2 linked regions of the Rattus norvegicus genome follow. The protein of the gene in region 2 purifies or fractionates together with the protein of the main gene of each other region. This does not show direct contact. Links are inferred from orthologs where the notes say so. Each region holds a gene or a part of one and is shown on either strand. Other genes may lie near its edges.

Evidence for each region. The genes of interacting proteins can lie anywhere in the genome.
Region 1: the proteins of Lyn (region 2) and Ankrd54 purify together in Homo sapiens (affinity purification with mass spectrometry; 3 studies listed by BioGRID and IntAct, with this or other methods). This does not show direct contact. The link is inferred for Rattus norvegicus from reciprocal best matches to the Homo sapiens genes LYN and ANKRD54.

What each region holds. Positions count from the first base shown.
Region 1 is NC_086025.1:112,503,244-112,511,019, forward strand, and holds the start of Ankrd54 (ankyrin repeat domain-containing protein 54), read right to left. Parts: upstream 4,886-7,776; 5' UTR 4,825-4,885; coding exon 4,500-4,824; intron 2,751-4,499; coding exon 2,703-2,750; intron 1-2,702. UniProt on the Homo sapiens protein: Plays an important role in regulating intracellular signaling events associated with erythroid terminal differentiation.
Region 2 is NC_086023.1:21,542,711-21,549,939, forward strand, and holds part of Lyn (tyrosine-protein kinase Lyn), read left to right. Parts: exon of another isoform or gene 1-2,723; intron 2,724-4,256; coding exon 4,257-4,410; intron 4,411-6,360; coding exon 6,361-6,492; intron 6,493-7,229. UniProt on the Homo sapiens protein: Non-receptor tyrosine-protein kinase that transmits signals from cell surface receptors and plays an important role in the regulation of innate and adaptive immune responses, hematopoiesis, responses to growth factors and cytokines, integrin signaling, but also responses to DNA damage and genotoxic agents.

The DNA.
Region 1 (7,776 bases), on a different chromosome or scaffold from region 2:
CTTTTGTCAATGCAAGTGGAGAAAATTGCTGCCAGTCACTTTTGAGTCAGTGACATTATAGGCTTTTTTCCCGGGAACCCATCAAGGGTCTGAGTCCTTGCAGCCAAAAGAAGAATTGCTTCCGGTCCACGTGGCTCTCCCAAGCTGAGTCAGCCCCTTCTTTTCTCTCCCACACCTCTCCCCTGTTCATCCTGTTCCTGAACAGCAAAAGACTGTGCTCCTCACTGTACAGTGTGCTCAGAGTTCTGGCCGGGCATCAGCCTCACAGTAACCCAGCGAGGTGTCATAGACCAGGACACTTTGCCCAGTGAGACAGCTTAAGGTTCAGAGGTCACACTGACCCAGGAGACAAGAAGCAAAGTGTATGACTGCTGTTTTGTGTTCACTCTGGGTTTTGACCTGGTTCCTCCTCAGCTATTTCACAGGCTAGAGCTTTGGTATGCGGCAGTGCCCTGTAAGTGCCTGCTCAGGTAGTGCTGGTGACTGGCTAGCTGGGTGTGGTGGCACGCTCCTGTGACCACAGCACTCTGGAGACAGAGGCTGGGGAATCACACGTTCAGGGCTAAATTCAAACCCACTAGCCCGAACCCTATTCTCCTGCCTCATACTAGAGACAGTTTAAAATTTTTTTAAAAGGGCCTGAGTGGAGAGGAAGGCTCAGGAGCTAAAGAGCCTTGTCATCAAGACTGATGAGCTAACTTCAATCACACAGGGTAAAGGAGGGACTAGGTCCCCACAGTTGTCCTGTGACATCCACTAGCGCACCATGGCACCTGCTTCCCCAAAGAAGAAACATTAAAAAATGTCTTTAAAAAAAAAAAAAAACTTTCTAAGGTGATGTTCGAACATCTTAAAACATTAAATTTCACGGCACACAGATCAAGCTGAGATTGCCCAGGTCCTGCGCCTGTTGACCACTGATGCACCAAAGGTAAGGGGACCATCAGGAAGCAGGTTCCTGAGGTAACCCCGCGCCCCCCATGCCTGCTGGAAGTGGGCTCCCGTAACCATGGGTCTGCATCAGTGTTGACAGCTTATATGTTCATAGTGTGTGCAAGTGCACATGCCTATGGTATGCACGCAGAGGACATCGGCCATGTATCACTTACCATCTTGTAACACAAGACCTCTCTCACTGAACCTGCAGCTCCCTGTTGCAGCTCAGATGCTGTCCATCAAACTCCTAGGACCCACCTGTCTCCAGTCACTAAGACTGGGGTTACAGTGACATGGAGCCATAACTGACTTTACTTGCATAGGTCCTGGGGATTTGAACTCAGGTCCTATTGCTTTTACAGCAAGTGTTCTCACCCACTGAGCCATTCCCCCAGGCCAATCCTATTATTTTTATCTCCCTCTCTACCCCAGGCTGTTTTAGAGTTTGTTGTGCAGACCGGACTGGCCATAATTTGTGATCTGACTACCTCTGTCTCCCAGAGCTAGGAATGAAGGCACACTCCACCACCCTGAGGATAGAAATAATCTGAGGACTAGAAGATCTGAAATCACGAGCCAAAAAGAAAGCTCCCTCCTTAGGTGCTATTTTTCTTTTTTTTTTTCCTCTTTTTTTTTTTTTTTTTTTTTTTGGTTCTTTTTTTCGGAGCTGGGGACCAAACCCAGGGCCTTGCGCTTCCTAGGCAAGCGCACTACCACTGAGCTAAATCCCCAACCCAGGTGCTATTTTTCTAAATGGTCTATGATGGAGGTCTGACAATACAACAGGCACAGTAAACTAGCACCCTGTTTCCCCCTACACGAGGAGGGCATTGTCAGCAGGTTAAATCCTTATTATTATTTTTTTTTAAATATACTTATTTTATTTATATGACTACACTGTCCCTATCTTCAGACACACCAGAAGAGGGCATCAGATCTCATTACAGATGGTTGTGAGCCACCATGTGGTTGCAGGGAATTGAAATCAGAACCTCTGGAAGAGCAGTCTGTGCTCTTAACCACTGGGCCATCTGTCTAGCCCCAAATCCTTGTTATCATCATCATCATCAGTAGTAGTAGTAGAAGTAGAAGTAGAAGGAGGAGAAGTATTTGTTCTAGAAGCAGTCCTTGTACCTCTGATGCTCTACCTCAGTTAGGAAACACTTAGAAGCATCAGTAGAAAGCCAACCTCAGTGTCTTGAAGGGAGCCCCACCCATGTTTGCCAGGCGCCCTGCTAATAAGAAATCTAAAACAGCACTCAGGAGACAGGCAGATCTTTGAGTTTGAGGCCAGCCTGGTCTACAGAGTGAGTTTCAGGACAGCCAGGGCTGCATAAATAGATCCTATCTTGGGAAAACAAAACAAAACCAAAAAACTCATCTAAGGACCAGCTACTGAGTAGCCAGGGTTGCCACCTGCCAGTCAAGGTGGAATGTTCACTCCTGGGAGCCACGAATTCCAAAGAGCCACTTGCTCTTTGCTGAGGGATATGCTGAGTCCCACGGGGGAGGTGGGGGTGGGAGACAAGCAGACAGACATGGTTGCTAGAATCAGGAAACACACAGCATGATAAGCACTATGACACCAGGAAAACTCCGGGTAACAGAAGAGCATGGTGAGGGAGTTTTGCACAGTGACTTCAGAGCAAGGAGTAAATAGAGCAAGCCTGCTCCAAGGGAGTGAGGATGAGCTGGTGGACGGCCCAGGACAGAGTGCTTGGCTCTTTCCTTCCCCTCAGCCCATAGGCCCACCTGGGTACACTCACCTGTTTCTATGTCATTGGCATTAGCTGAGTCCCTCAGCCTCTTCAGAGCTATAAAGAGAGAAGTGACAGTTAAAAAAAAAAGGGGGGGGGGGTTGGGGATTTAGCTCAGTGGTAGAGCGCTTACCTAGGAAGCGCAAGGCCCTGAGTTCCAGTCCCCAGCTCCGAAAAAAAGAACCAAAAAAAAAAAAAAAAAAAAAAACCAGAACCAAATAGGAGGTGCACGGTTCCCTAGCTTTTCCTCATCCCCCACCTTTAGTCATGGCAGTCCTGAAGCACAGGTGTCAGGATAGAAACCACTGGCCTGGCAATAAGGAGAAATTGGCAGGGCCACAGTTGGAGAGGCCACTTTCTGCAGCAAATCTGACTTCTGGAGCCAAATCTAATTTCTGCCACTTGTGGTAGCTGGTGACCTTGAGCAAGCCAGTTACTTATCCTGGGCCTCAGCCTGTTATCTATAAAACATGGCTGAATTGTCTTGCCAGCTCTAAGCTGTTACAAAGAAAATTGAGATTAATTTTTTAAGAGAGAAAGAATGAGAGGGTTTATTTAGCTCTTTGTGACCTAATCACATTCAACCTCTTACTATGTGACTTCAAAGCGGGTCACTCCCAAATGACTTAGCAAACTTTCTAATTCCTAAACAGAAACTTTCCCCCTTTCAAAGGCATCGCCTGTTTTTCAGAAGGACCAGGAAGCAATGCCTTAGTTGTTAGAGAATGGTCCAAAAAGTTGCAAACGAGATATAACAATTGCACACATCCATAGACCACTGTTTTGTTTTCTTTTAAATATTCTTTTCTATTTTTTTTATAACACCAGCATACTGGATCAAACGCTGTTAGGTGTGAAAAAGAGACCTTAAAACCTTTCATTCTGGGGCTGGGGATTTAGCTCAGTGGTAGAGTGCTTACCTAGGAAGCGCAAGGCCCTGGGTTCGGTCCCCAGCTCCGAAAAAAAGAAAAAAAAACAAAAACCTTTCCATTCTTAATTCTTCTGCACCCCATTTTCCAATATAACAGACATACTAAGGCAGTCTGGCTGACCTGTTTGCTATGTGACTTCGAATCAGAATAACTAAATGGTAATCACTGTAATTGTCAGCCAATAAATATGTAAGCTTTAGGGATGTTGGGATGGCTCGCTGGGAAAAGATGCTTGCTACAAGGCCTGACCTCCTGAGTGGAATTGCCAGGACTCACACTGTGGACCTGGAACTTGCTACTTAGAGCAGGCTGGCCTTGAACTCACAGGGATCTCCCTGCCTCTGCTTCCTGAGTGCTGGAGTTACACACGTGCACTGCCACATCTGGCTGTTTTTCTTGCTTACAGTAAAGTCTTTATAAGTCACTTTTCATGGGTCACAATGTAACTCTGAATGTGTATCAAACAAGTGTTTGGCCCTTCGTTAAGGTAGAACATACGTTGAGACCCTTGCCTAACTTTTGAGAACCTTGCCTAACTTCTTTTAATCCCTGAATAAGGCTGGTAGTGTACCCATCCTACAATCAGAAAATCGAGGCCACAAGTGACTATAGTGCCTAAGTAAGGGTCCAGTGTGAAGCAGTCTGATTCAGACCTGTGCCTTCACACAAGTTGGTGCAGCGTGGACACTGGCTCTGGGCTACCGTCTCTACTAATAAAAGTATTCTCCATTGTCCCACATTATTGTCTAATAACCACCCTCGGGAGTGTAAAGTTTTTATTCAGGGATGAACAAGTGGATGAAGTCACAGTCCTCTGCAGCTCGAACTACTGCGATCACACACGAGCGACCCCAGGGTCCCTGACTTAGCTCACCGTGCACCTCTTTGCCGGTGGGCCCGAGCCGTCGGTGGGGCCTGGCTGCACGCCTCAGCCGCCCGGCGGGAATCTTGCAACGCAGTTCGTCGCGAGGCTCGACGTCCTGCTGCCACAGGACTTGGAGGTAGCGCAGCGGGGACTGGGCCCTGCCCACCGCCCGACCCGGGAGGCCTGCGCCGCTGCCCAGTGCAGCGCCGAGGTCCGCAAAGGAGAACAGGCCTCCGGCTTCCGCCAGAGGCTCCGGCGCCACCGCGCACTCGCCCTCGGAGCTCGAGCGGCCGGATCGCGACTCGTCCTCCGCGCCCCCGCCGGTGGCTGCCATGGCAACGGCTAGGCGCGGGTCTGGCAGCGCCAGCCTCGTTCCGAACCGACCAACGGACCCGCTTCCCTCCAGGAGAAGCCTCGCTGTCAGGGAACGGGCGGGCGGGGCCTGCAACCACGGCAACAGAGTGCGGGAGGGCCGGACCGCGCCAGAGCGTCGGACCAATCAGAGTTCGCAGAGCCTGCATAGCACACCCAATCAGGTAAGGAAGGCAGACTACAAGGAGAACACTGGTTTTCACTAGTGTGAATGGCGGTAATATGAACCAATCACAAATTAGGATTGTTTTTTCACTAAGCGGTGTAGCTACCGGAGCCAATAAAATAGCTGAGTTCAGGACACCCCTTTCTTCCTTTTCTTCCTGTGGTAGCTCCGAAAAGAAGACTGGCAAGTGCTTTAGCCAATCAATGTAAGATGGTTTCCAGCCAATCAGAAAGGAAAGTGAAAAAACCCCCGAACTCTGTTCTGGAGTAGGTGTGTTTTGACTCAATGAACTTTAAAAAAAGAAAAAGAAAAAAAAAAAAAAATCCAGACACACTATGATTTGAAGATCATCACGAAGTAGGCGATAATATCTTCTAACGTAATAGATTTTGCTTCATCGAGTTCTCTTGCCCTCCTCGGGGATCATTGCTTTAACAAAAAATTATAGTCTATGGAACCCTGCAGTAGGCAGATTAGGGAAGAGCAATTAATTCCTCAGTCTTGAAAGTCCTTTGGATCACTGACCTGAATTTGACCCAAGGGAGGTGCAAGTACACACACACACACACACACACACACACACACACACGCCACAAGTCATTAATATTCATCAGTTAATAAATTAAATAGAGAGGCTGGAGAGATGGTTCAGAGATTAAGAGCATTGGCTGCTCTTCCAGAGATCCTGAGTTCAAATCCCAGCAACTACATGGTGGCTCACAACCATCTGTAATGAGATCTGGTGCCCTCTTCTGGCTCGTAGGTATACATGCAGGCAGTAATAACTAAATCTTTAAAAAAAAATTTTTTTTTTTAAAATAGAAAACACCTGCGAGGCCAAATAAACACCTGTAGCACTACCTTGTACTAATTAAAGGACTTGTGTTCTAGTCTACCTACCCGAAGTTGGTGATTTGAGGGCAACTTCTTGGAGTGGTCTTTCAGACTTCAAAGGATTGGTTTCTCCCTGTAGCCCTGGCTGTACTGAAACTCATTGTGTAGACAAGGCTGTCCTCGAACTCAGAGGTCCACCTGCCTCTGCCTCCTGAGTGCTGGGATTTTAGGTAGATAGATGGATTGATGGATCGATGGGTAGATATTTCTTTCTTTTCTTTTTTTCTTTTGGTTTTCTGAAACAATGTTTCTAAGTGCAGCTTGGCCGAGTCAGAACTTGCTCTGTCAATCAGGCTGGCCCCCCAACTTACAGAGATTCAACTGCCTTTGTTTTCCTAAAAATTATTTTTAATATTTTTTTTCCGGAGCTGGGGACCGAACCCAGGGCCTTGTGCTTGCTAGGCAAGCACTCTACCACTGAGCTAAATCCCCAACCCCCAAAATTATTATTTTTTTTTTTTGATTCTTTTTTTCGGAGCTGGGGACCGAACCCAGGGCCTTGCGCTTCCTAGGTAAGCGCTCTACCACTGAGCTAAATCCCCAGCCCCCCCAAAATTATTTTTAATTGAAAAACTTTGCATACAATATATTTTGGGGTTGGGGATTTAGCTCAGTGGTAGAGCGCTTGCCTAGCAGGTGCAAGGCCCTGGGTTCGGTCCCCAACTCTGAAAAAAAGAAAAGAAAAAAAAAATAGATTTTGATCATGCTTTTCTCTTCTCCCAACTCCTTCCAAACCCTCTACACCTCCTTACTCACCCACTTTCATGCCCTTTCTTTCTCTTATCAAAAACAAAATAACAGCAAAATACACACACAACAACAACAACAACAACTGCACAAAAATAGTAAAGGACCAATGATACAAAAATGCCCAAACAATGTAATAGAAAACAAAAGTTTGTAAAAACAGGTTCAATTTATTTTCTGTTGGTCAATCACTCCAGCGTAGGGGGCCCACACAGAAATATAGTTTATGTACCCCTGAGACGTCACTCAAGAAAACTGTGTCTTTGCAACTTAGTATTGATTAGGAATTGATGGGTGGAGCCCGTGCCCACTTCCACCTCTGGTCACTGGGATGACCCCCGTCTGGCCCACAGCCTCTGTGAGTTCATTTGTGTATTGGTCCTGCTGGATTTGGAGAACACCGTTTTCTTTGAGCCATCCACCACCTCTGTTTCTTTCTGTTTTTGCTTTTCTAGACAGGGTTTCTCTATATAGCTTTGACAATCCTGGAACTCACTCTGTAGACCAGGCTGGCCTCAACCTCAGAGATCTGCCTCCCTCTCCCTCCTGAGTGCTGGGATTAAGAGCATGTGCCACCACTGACCAGCCTCTATTGCATTTTTTTCGGGGCCTGTTGCTGTGGGGTTACTGGGTTCTGTTGGAGGCACCTTGTCTCGCCTGTTCATATTTCGTGGTTTTACACTGAGGTCTAAGCTTCTGGAAGTGTACTTTGAGGTGTTACTTGGTGTTTGTCTTGTCTTTGTCTTCTGCAGAGGGGTGCTTTGTTCTTTGATTATGGTTGCCCCCTCTGGAGCCTAGGCAAGTATGGTGGCTATGGGGTCCTAAATTCTGCATGTCAGTGTGTGGTAGAAAGGAAAGGAGCTGGCTAGAGAAAAAGGCCGAGAGGAGAGGAGCTATGGAAAGAGCTAGAAGTTGGCTCTTCTTCATGTCAACTCAAGCTGCTTTCCTGCAGTGGGCAGACCTTCACTTCCTGTACTTGTAAACTTCATAAACCCTTAAGGCATGTGAGTGGCTGGGCTTCTGCTGGCCTGCCTTCTGACTGGTGTGCTCCAGTGGCTGAGGCCTGCCCCTAGACTTCCCTAATGGCAGTGTAGGCTGTTTTCTAAA
Region 2 (7,229 bases):
GTCGTCCTCATTGTCATCATCATCATCATCATCATCATCATCATCATCATCATCATCATCTACTACCTGAACACAACACAACAAAACCATTTCCTGGTCAAAAGGGTCCTTTCTCACTAGACACGGTATCTCCAGTAGCTGCCATACCAGTGACTTTTATGTGGTGTTGAGATATAGGAAGTGAGAGGCTTGAGCTCTTCTCTTGGGATCCCTGGGGACAGGTTTGATGTATCTAGCTGACAGTTCTTTCTGTACTGCTGAAAGAGGAAGAGGATATCCTATGAACAAAGCATCCTCCTAATCTGGACCAGCAGAAGCTGGGTCTGGTTTCTTCCCGCTGCTATCAAATATAGCCAGATTTGCTCTGGCTACAGTAAAACCCTTTTGATTCTAAATGTTGGTTGGTTGGTTGGTTGGTTGGTTGGTTGGTTGGTTGGTTTTTAAAAGCCAAATAAAGAACACTGTAGAGTTGGGGGCTGAAGAGAGGGAACGAATTTTACAGACTAGGGTGGTAATACTTGGGAGCCTTTCGCTTTGCTGGGGTGTCTGCTAATTATTGAGCTCAGCTCAAGCTACTTTAGGATTTCATCTCAACACCAATATCACTGTCCGGAAAAGCGCTGTAACTGGAATAGAGATCCCAAGTACACAAGGCTTGTTCAAGACTGTGACTGCTTCAGAGAATCACCTCCAAACACTTTCAGCAGGTGCCCAGCTTGAGTAGATGTGCCTGGAGCCCTCCTAGCAAGTTCTTGGAATGATCTTAGAATAAGCTGACCCTGGAAATCCATGGCCAAGCAGGAGATGGAGCTGAGCCCTGAGTCGGGATTTTAGCCAGCTTCAGCTCTTTGCACTCCTGACCTAGGGTCTATATATTTACTAGACTGTTAGCTAGGTAAGCATGGCCTAGCATTTCAAGAAGGCTCTGTTACTAAGGAGGACTGGAAAGAGGCTCAGAGAGCATCAGTAATGACCATGCAATTGTTTGTATCCCTTTGGGGTTCTAGAACCTTGCTGGCTCATTTCAGCAAGGCACGTCTCTGTCTCCTTAACCCAAACATTCTATCCAGTTGTGTAACAGCTTCTTGGCCCATTCTTCTGCTTAGTCCCAGCATGCTCTGCACTCTTGCCTTGCCTTTAGTAAGTTTGGTTGAGGTTGGCGTGCCAGCAAACTATGAGAAACTGAAGCCTGAGTCCTGCCCCAACAACGTTTGCCTCAGTCCCTTGTGTTACATCACCCTCTGCCCTCTATGTCATGCCCCACTGGTCTGGTGCAGAGTCTTCTAGAGGAAGTCACGAATGCCAGCATGCCCTTGCCAGGGCATTCACACCCCACCCCACCGCCTTCGGTGGGCTTCCTGTTGAAGCTATTTTGAATATTTCCAGATAAGGGCGAGCATCTTCTGTGCGCCTAGGGCCGTTGAGAGTAGGGAAAGCAGAGGCCACCCAGCTGTTGCTATCTCAACCAGCCTCACATTTTCCCCCACCATGCTCTGGTTTCTGCTCTATGTGCTTACCTATCGTCAGATGTGTGCAATGTTTTACAAGGTCAGCCCCCCATGTCATCGTGCTTCCTTTGTACCAAGTTGAGAGCTGAATGCAGGCAGCACATGCAGCTCACCTGTGCCCAGGGAAGTGGCCACATGAGATGGGCACATGGACAGAGTGACGAGCCGTGGAGATGCACTCCTCGGAGAAAGTGCTGTGCTACAAAGGCTCAGGGAAAAAAAATGGCCTCTCAGCCCAGACCTGCAGGATGAATGGGCCACATAACGGGGGAGTGAGGTTTGAGGGTGGTTGCCAAGAGGCTGCAGGAGGAGTCATGGTGAGGAATCAGGAAGATAAAGCAAAGCCAGGTCCTGTAGAATGCTACCAGCTCCTGGTAGCATTATTAAAGTATTTGGACAGTGTGCCTGGGTGCCCATAGGGAGTGAAGTTCTGGGTTGACTAGACTTCAAAGTAGATCTGGGGCACTTTGCGTATTCTCAAATTGTTGTGACCAGAAGAATGACACCTACAAATCCTGTGTGCTAGCAACATAGCTTCCTGGACCCTACCTAGTTCGGGGGCTGGAGAGATGGCTCAGCGGTTAAGAGCACTGACTGCTCTTCCAGAGGTCCTGAGTTCAATTCCCAGCAACCACATAGTGGCTCACAACCATCTGTAATGGTATCTGATGCCCTCTTCTGGTATGTCTGAAGACAGCTACAGTGTACTCACATATACGAAATAAATAAATAAATCTTAAAAACAAAAATCAAAACTCTAGCTCGTTTTTCTGGAGGAGATTAGTGACAGCAGCAAAGTTGCACTCGAGTGAGAATAGAAAAGATATACAGTGCAGCCTTTGCCTTAGAGGCGTTGATTATCTGGTTGCTGTGGCAACAGTAAGCCCCCCCCCCCAACAGAAAACAATGGTAAAGCTGTAACCCTTAGCTGTGAGTAGTGTTTGTGCAGACCAACGCTGCAAGACAGGTGAAGAGAGGTTCAGGATGGGACTAGGAGGACTCCGGAAGAGGACCCAGGATGAGGCCTGGAAGGAAAGGAAGTGCTAACCAGCTGCTCCTTTGCTGAGCAGTAGAGGTTGAAGGGGCTTGTGCAGTCTTCACAGTGTGAGGTAAGGAGGCTGCTGCTGCTGGTGATGGAGGAGCCTTCCCAGATGCAATTTACAGCCTCTGGGGGACAATTCACTCTATTGAGAAGTCATCCTAATTGAGGAAGCTTCTCTTCTTTTTTTCTTTTTTTTTTTTTTTTTTTTTTTTCCCCCGGAGCTGGGGACCGAACCCAGGGCCTTGCGCTTCCTAGGCAAGCGCTCTACCACTGAGCTAAATCCCCAACCCCAGAGGAAGCTTCTCTTAAACACATACACACAAATACACAGACAAGTACACAGAAATACACACACACCACAAACATGCACTCCATAAACACACGCAAGCACACATACATGCACACATAAATACACACAAGCATGAGCGTATGCGCACGTGTACACACACACACACACACACACACACACACACACACACACACACACACTTTCTTCCTTCCTTATCCTTGACTGTGTAATTTGGTGGCACAATCCTTTAACTGATTTTTTGAGCTCTGCCACATTTCCTACCAGCACTAAGTAGTACCTTCTCCTCTCTGGGCTGTTGTCTATATGAATCCTTCATTCTGCCTCATATTTTTGCTTTGTTGCCAGAGTATATTCTGTTCGTCCTGAGGGACTATGCTCAGAGGCTCTGGAGAGCTGGCCCCACCTCTTCCTTAGCAAGATCCTGACAGAAAGGGTCTTACTAACAAGCGTGTGTCTCACGTCCTGTTGCTGGTGTCTTGTATTAGCAAATCACTTTCTTCTCTTCTGTTGTCTTAGTTCTGGTTTCTACCACAAAATACCATGGACTGGATGTTTCCAACAACAGGCATTTATTTCTTAGAGTTCTAGGGACATCCAGAAAGAAGCACCAGCACATTCAGTATCTGGTACAGGCCCATTCTCCTTACAGCCTCTTAATAGCCATGGCCACCCAAGGTGGAAATGATTAGGAAGCTCTCTGTGGCCTCTTATATAAGGGCACCAAGTCTGCACTGCCCCCCAACCTAGTTACTTTACAACTACCAACACATAAGGATCATATTGAGGGTCAGGATATCAATATATAAATTTAGGGGACCTCACCTAAGAATCTAACATGACCTCTGTATATCAGCATGGGCAGGTTTTACAGGTCTTAAAAAAAGCTTTCACACTGTTAAAAATGCTGAATCTATTGTTATTTAAAAAACAAAATGTTACCATGGGGCTGAGGTGATAGCTGAGCAGTTAAGGCCGTGAACTGCTTTTAGGGAGGGCCCAGATTCAGTTCCCCTCTCTCATGTTGAATTATCTCAACTGCCTGCAACTCCAGCTCCAGGGGATCCAATGCCCCCTTCTGGCCTCCAAGAGTACCTGCATGCAATGTTTTCACTGAGACACAAAAGACACACACACACACACACACACACACACACACACACACACACACACACACACGGACCGACACGAACACACACACACAAAGAGATAAATAAAAATAAAATAAAAACTTTTTTTAAAAAAGTTACCATTGTTGGAGATGTTAGGGACAGACTTTAAAAAGAATTCTAAGGGTGACTTTAGCACTATCTTAAAATTTTGAAAAACTAGTTTTTTTCTTGATGGCCAACCATGACAGCCTCTCTAGAATATGAACATGACCCCCTTCTGTTTGCAGATTGCAGAAGGCATGGCGTACATCGAGCGGAAGAACTACATCCACCGCGATCTGCGAGCTGCCAACGTGCTGGTCTCTGAGTCTCTCATGTGCAAGATTGCAGACTTTGGCCTCGCGAGAGTAATCGAAGATAATGAATACACAGCGAGGGAAGGTACGTGTGCTGGGTTACAGAGGCCATCTTGCTGCAGGAGTGTGCTATTGCCCCCCATGATGATGCCCTCCCACTTTTCCACCCCCCAATTCTGTCCTGTGTTCTCTCGGTTCCCACCGACCTTGTTTCTACCTTCAAGACAAGGCATTGCTGTGTAATGAGGAAATCTCCTAGCTATGTATCTGACAGGTAGTTAATATACAAACAACTCAAAAAGCGACATAACAAGAAATATTTCATTATTTCTCTGCCTAATTTCATTTTTGTTTGCTTTTTAATAAAGCATCTACAAAAAAGTCATCATTTTGAAGGGGAAAAAAAGGGCTTATTTGGTACAATATTGAAGATGTGCCTCAATGGTAGCTTTCTGTGTAAGATCTGTCTTGGATAAGGCCACTCAATACTGTAACAAGATTCATGAACAGTAGTATCTGTCTTCTTCTTTGCTGGTTTTTGAGATAAGGGGGTGTTTTACTTTTTGGCAGTGGGGATTAATGGACGAGGGTCTCATCTTTGCAAGGCAAGAGCTCAACCACTGAGTTGTAGCACAGTCTTGCTGTGTAACCCAGGCTGGCCTCAAACTCTAAATCTTGCTGCCTCAGCCTCCCACGTGCTGGGACTACAAGTATGTGCACCACACATCCAGCCTTGTATTTCACTTAGTCAACACTAAATTTGTCAAAATTAAGATTCTTTATTTACCCTGTAAGGCAGATTTTTTCCCCTCTCAAATAATAAAGCACATGTGCTTCCCTGGACTGCAGAGATGTTCGTAACACTTAGTCTATGCTGCAGACCACTGATGATGGGCCTCGGAGGTTCTGCAACTCTAGAGATCCTCTGTAAGGGTCTGAGCCAGGATCCAAGCCAGGGAATCCAGCTTTTGAGTACATGAGAGAGAATTGATTACACTGGTTTGTTGACACCAACAAGCACTGAGTCTTTGAAAAATACCAGAAAGGACAAAGACCATAAAGAACATGTTAGGATGATACCAAATAGAAAGTGGTAACATGGAGATGCTCCGAGACTCTGTATCTCTGTCCTCCCATCATGCACCACTGCTCCAGGCTGTCTAGAAACAATCCAGGAGTCAGTGATTGTGAGCCCAGCACACAACAGGTGTACACAACTGTCTGTTCTGTTCTTATAGGGACTACTAGTCTTAGTAAGGCACTGCAAAAGAAAATGCCTGCAAAGACATAGTAAAGATAATGTTTTCAAGCAGTGGCTATGAACCCCTAGCAGTTCCACAATGCTGGAGCTACAGACTGCGCCAAGTCTTGCTTTCCTCGAAGGAAATTAAATATAATTCTGGTTGTGGATCTAGTTCAGTAGTCAAATGTGTACTTAGCACTCATTCCGGCACTAAAAATTAAGTAGGTACATTTAAATGAAATAATAAATATGGCCACTCAAACTTAGAATGGACTTACTAAAGAAAAGCCTGAACTGTGTTGTAGAGAAGGCTTGGTGTGACGTTTTGATACTGTATGTTTGGTTTCGTTTTCTGAGATGGGGTCCTATATTGATGTCCAGGAGTTTAAAGCTAAACTCCTTGATTCAAGAGATTCCCCTATCTCACCTGAGAATACAGGTGCATGCCAGCATACTAAACTCTAGATAAAATTTCAGCAACCCTTTTGAAAGGCCAACAGTGTAAGAAAATAGTACACCGCACCCTTTCCCGTTTAAAGTTGAGCTGATTACAGTGCCCCCTGGAGGTTCTAGAAGAAACTGCTTCTAAAGAAAGGAGGACCCTAAAGGGAAGGGCAAGGGAGGTGACTCTGTTCGAATGACATTTGACACCATGTCCATTTTGATTGTGCATGTATCTTTTCTATTCCAAGTAAATTACTTGAATTTCTTTTAAAAAAAAAGTCAAGGAAGAAAATTACCTCTAACCCATTAGCTTAAACCTGGAGTAAGAGCCCATGTCTTCCTCTTCAGGTGCCAAGTTCCCTATCAAGTGGACGGCTCCAGAGGCCATCAACTTCGGCTGCTTCACTATCAAGTCTGACGTGTGGTCCTTCGGAATTCTCCTGTACGAGATCGTCACCTATGGGAAGATTCCCTACCCAGGTATCACTTCCCCACACCCCCCTCCAGTGCGAGGGAAGAACCAAGCACCCCGAAGACAACAGTCTCGTCTACCTGTGCTCCTGACAGCTTGGGGTCGTTACCTTTTATGCAAATCTTGCTGAAAGATGCTTAGATGCTCCTTTGTCTCTACTCACTCTTCACCCTGTGCACTCGGCACTGCTCTGGGTGTTTCGGTGAGGCAGATTAGACACGAGTGTGCCCCTCTCTGCCAAAACGGGGCTCCAGATGGGGCAGAACATGTACAAGGAACGAGGGTCTTCAATGTCTTCTGCTAGTGGTGAGAACTGAGGTTAAATATTGGGCTGGTATGGTTAACTTGAAAGGTCAGTTGGGTCTAACATTGGTTTGTGTGCATGTTGTTGACTTCTCAGCCTACCTGTGCAGCTCTTTCTGCCGGTTATGGGATCTGAGGACCTGAAGGAATAGGGCAGACTACAGTCGGATGCTTCAGAAACCTTATTTAAGTTTCAGTGTAGTTTTATATACAAATATAACAACAACAACAAAAAGGCAACGATCCAAGGAAGGTTGTGTGAGGTCAGAAAACCATGCAAACAAGCATCAATAAGCACATACTATATATTAACAGAGTAGCCCTTTCCCAGAACTTTCTCAGGACAGACCAATCTAAACACTATCATCTGGCGCATACTATAGATTATAGTATATCTGGGAAAGCAAGGCAGAAAGCAGCATGCAGATTCAGTGTACACTGA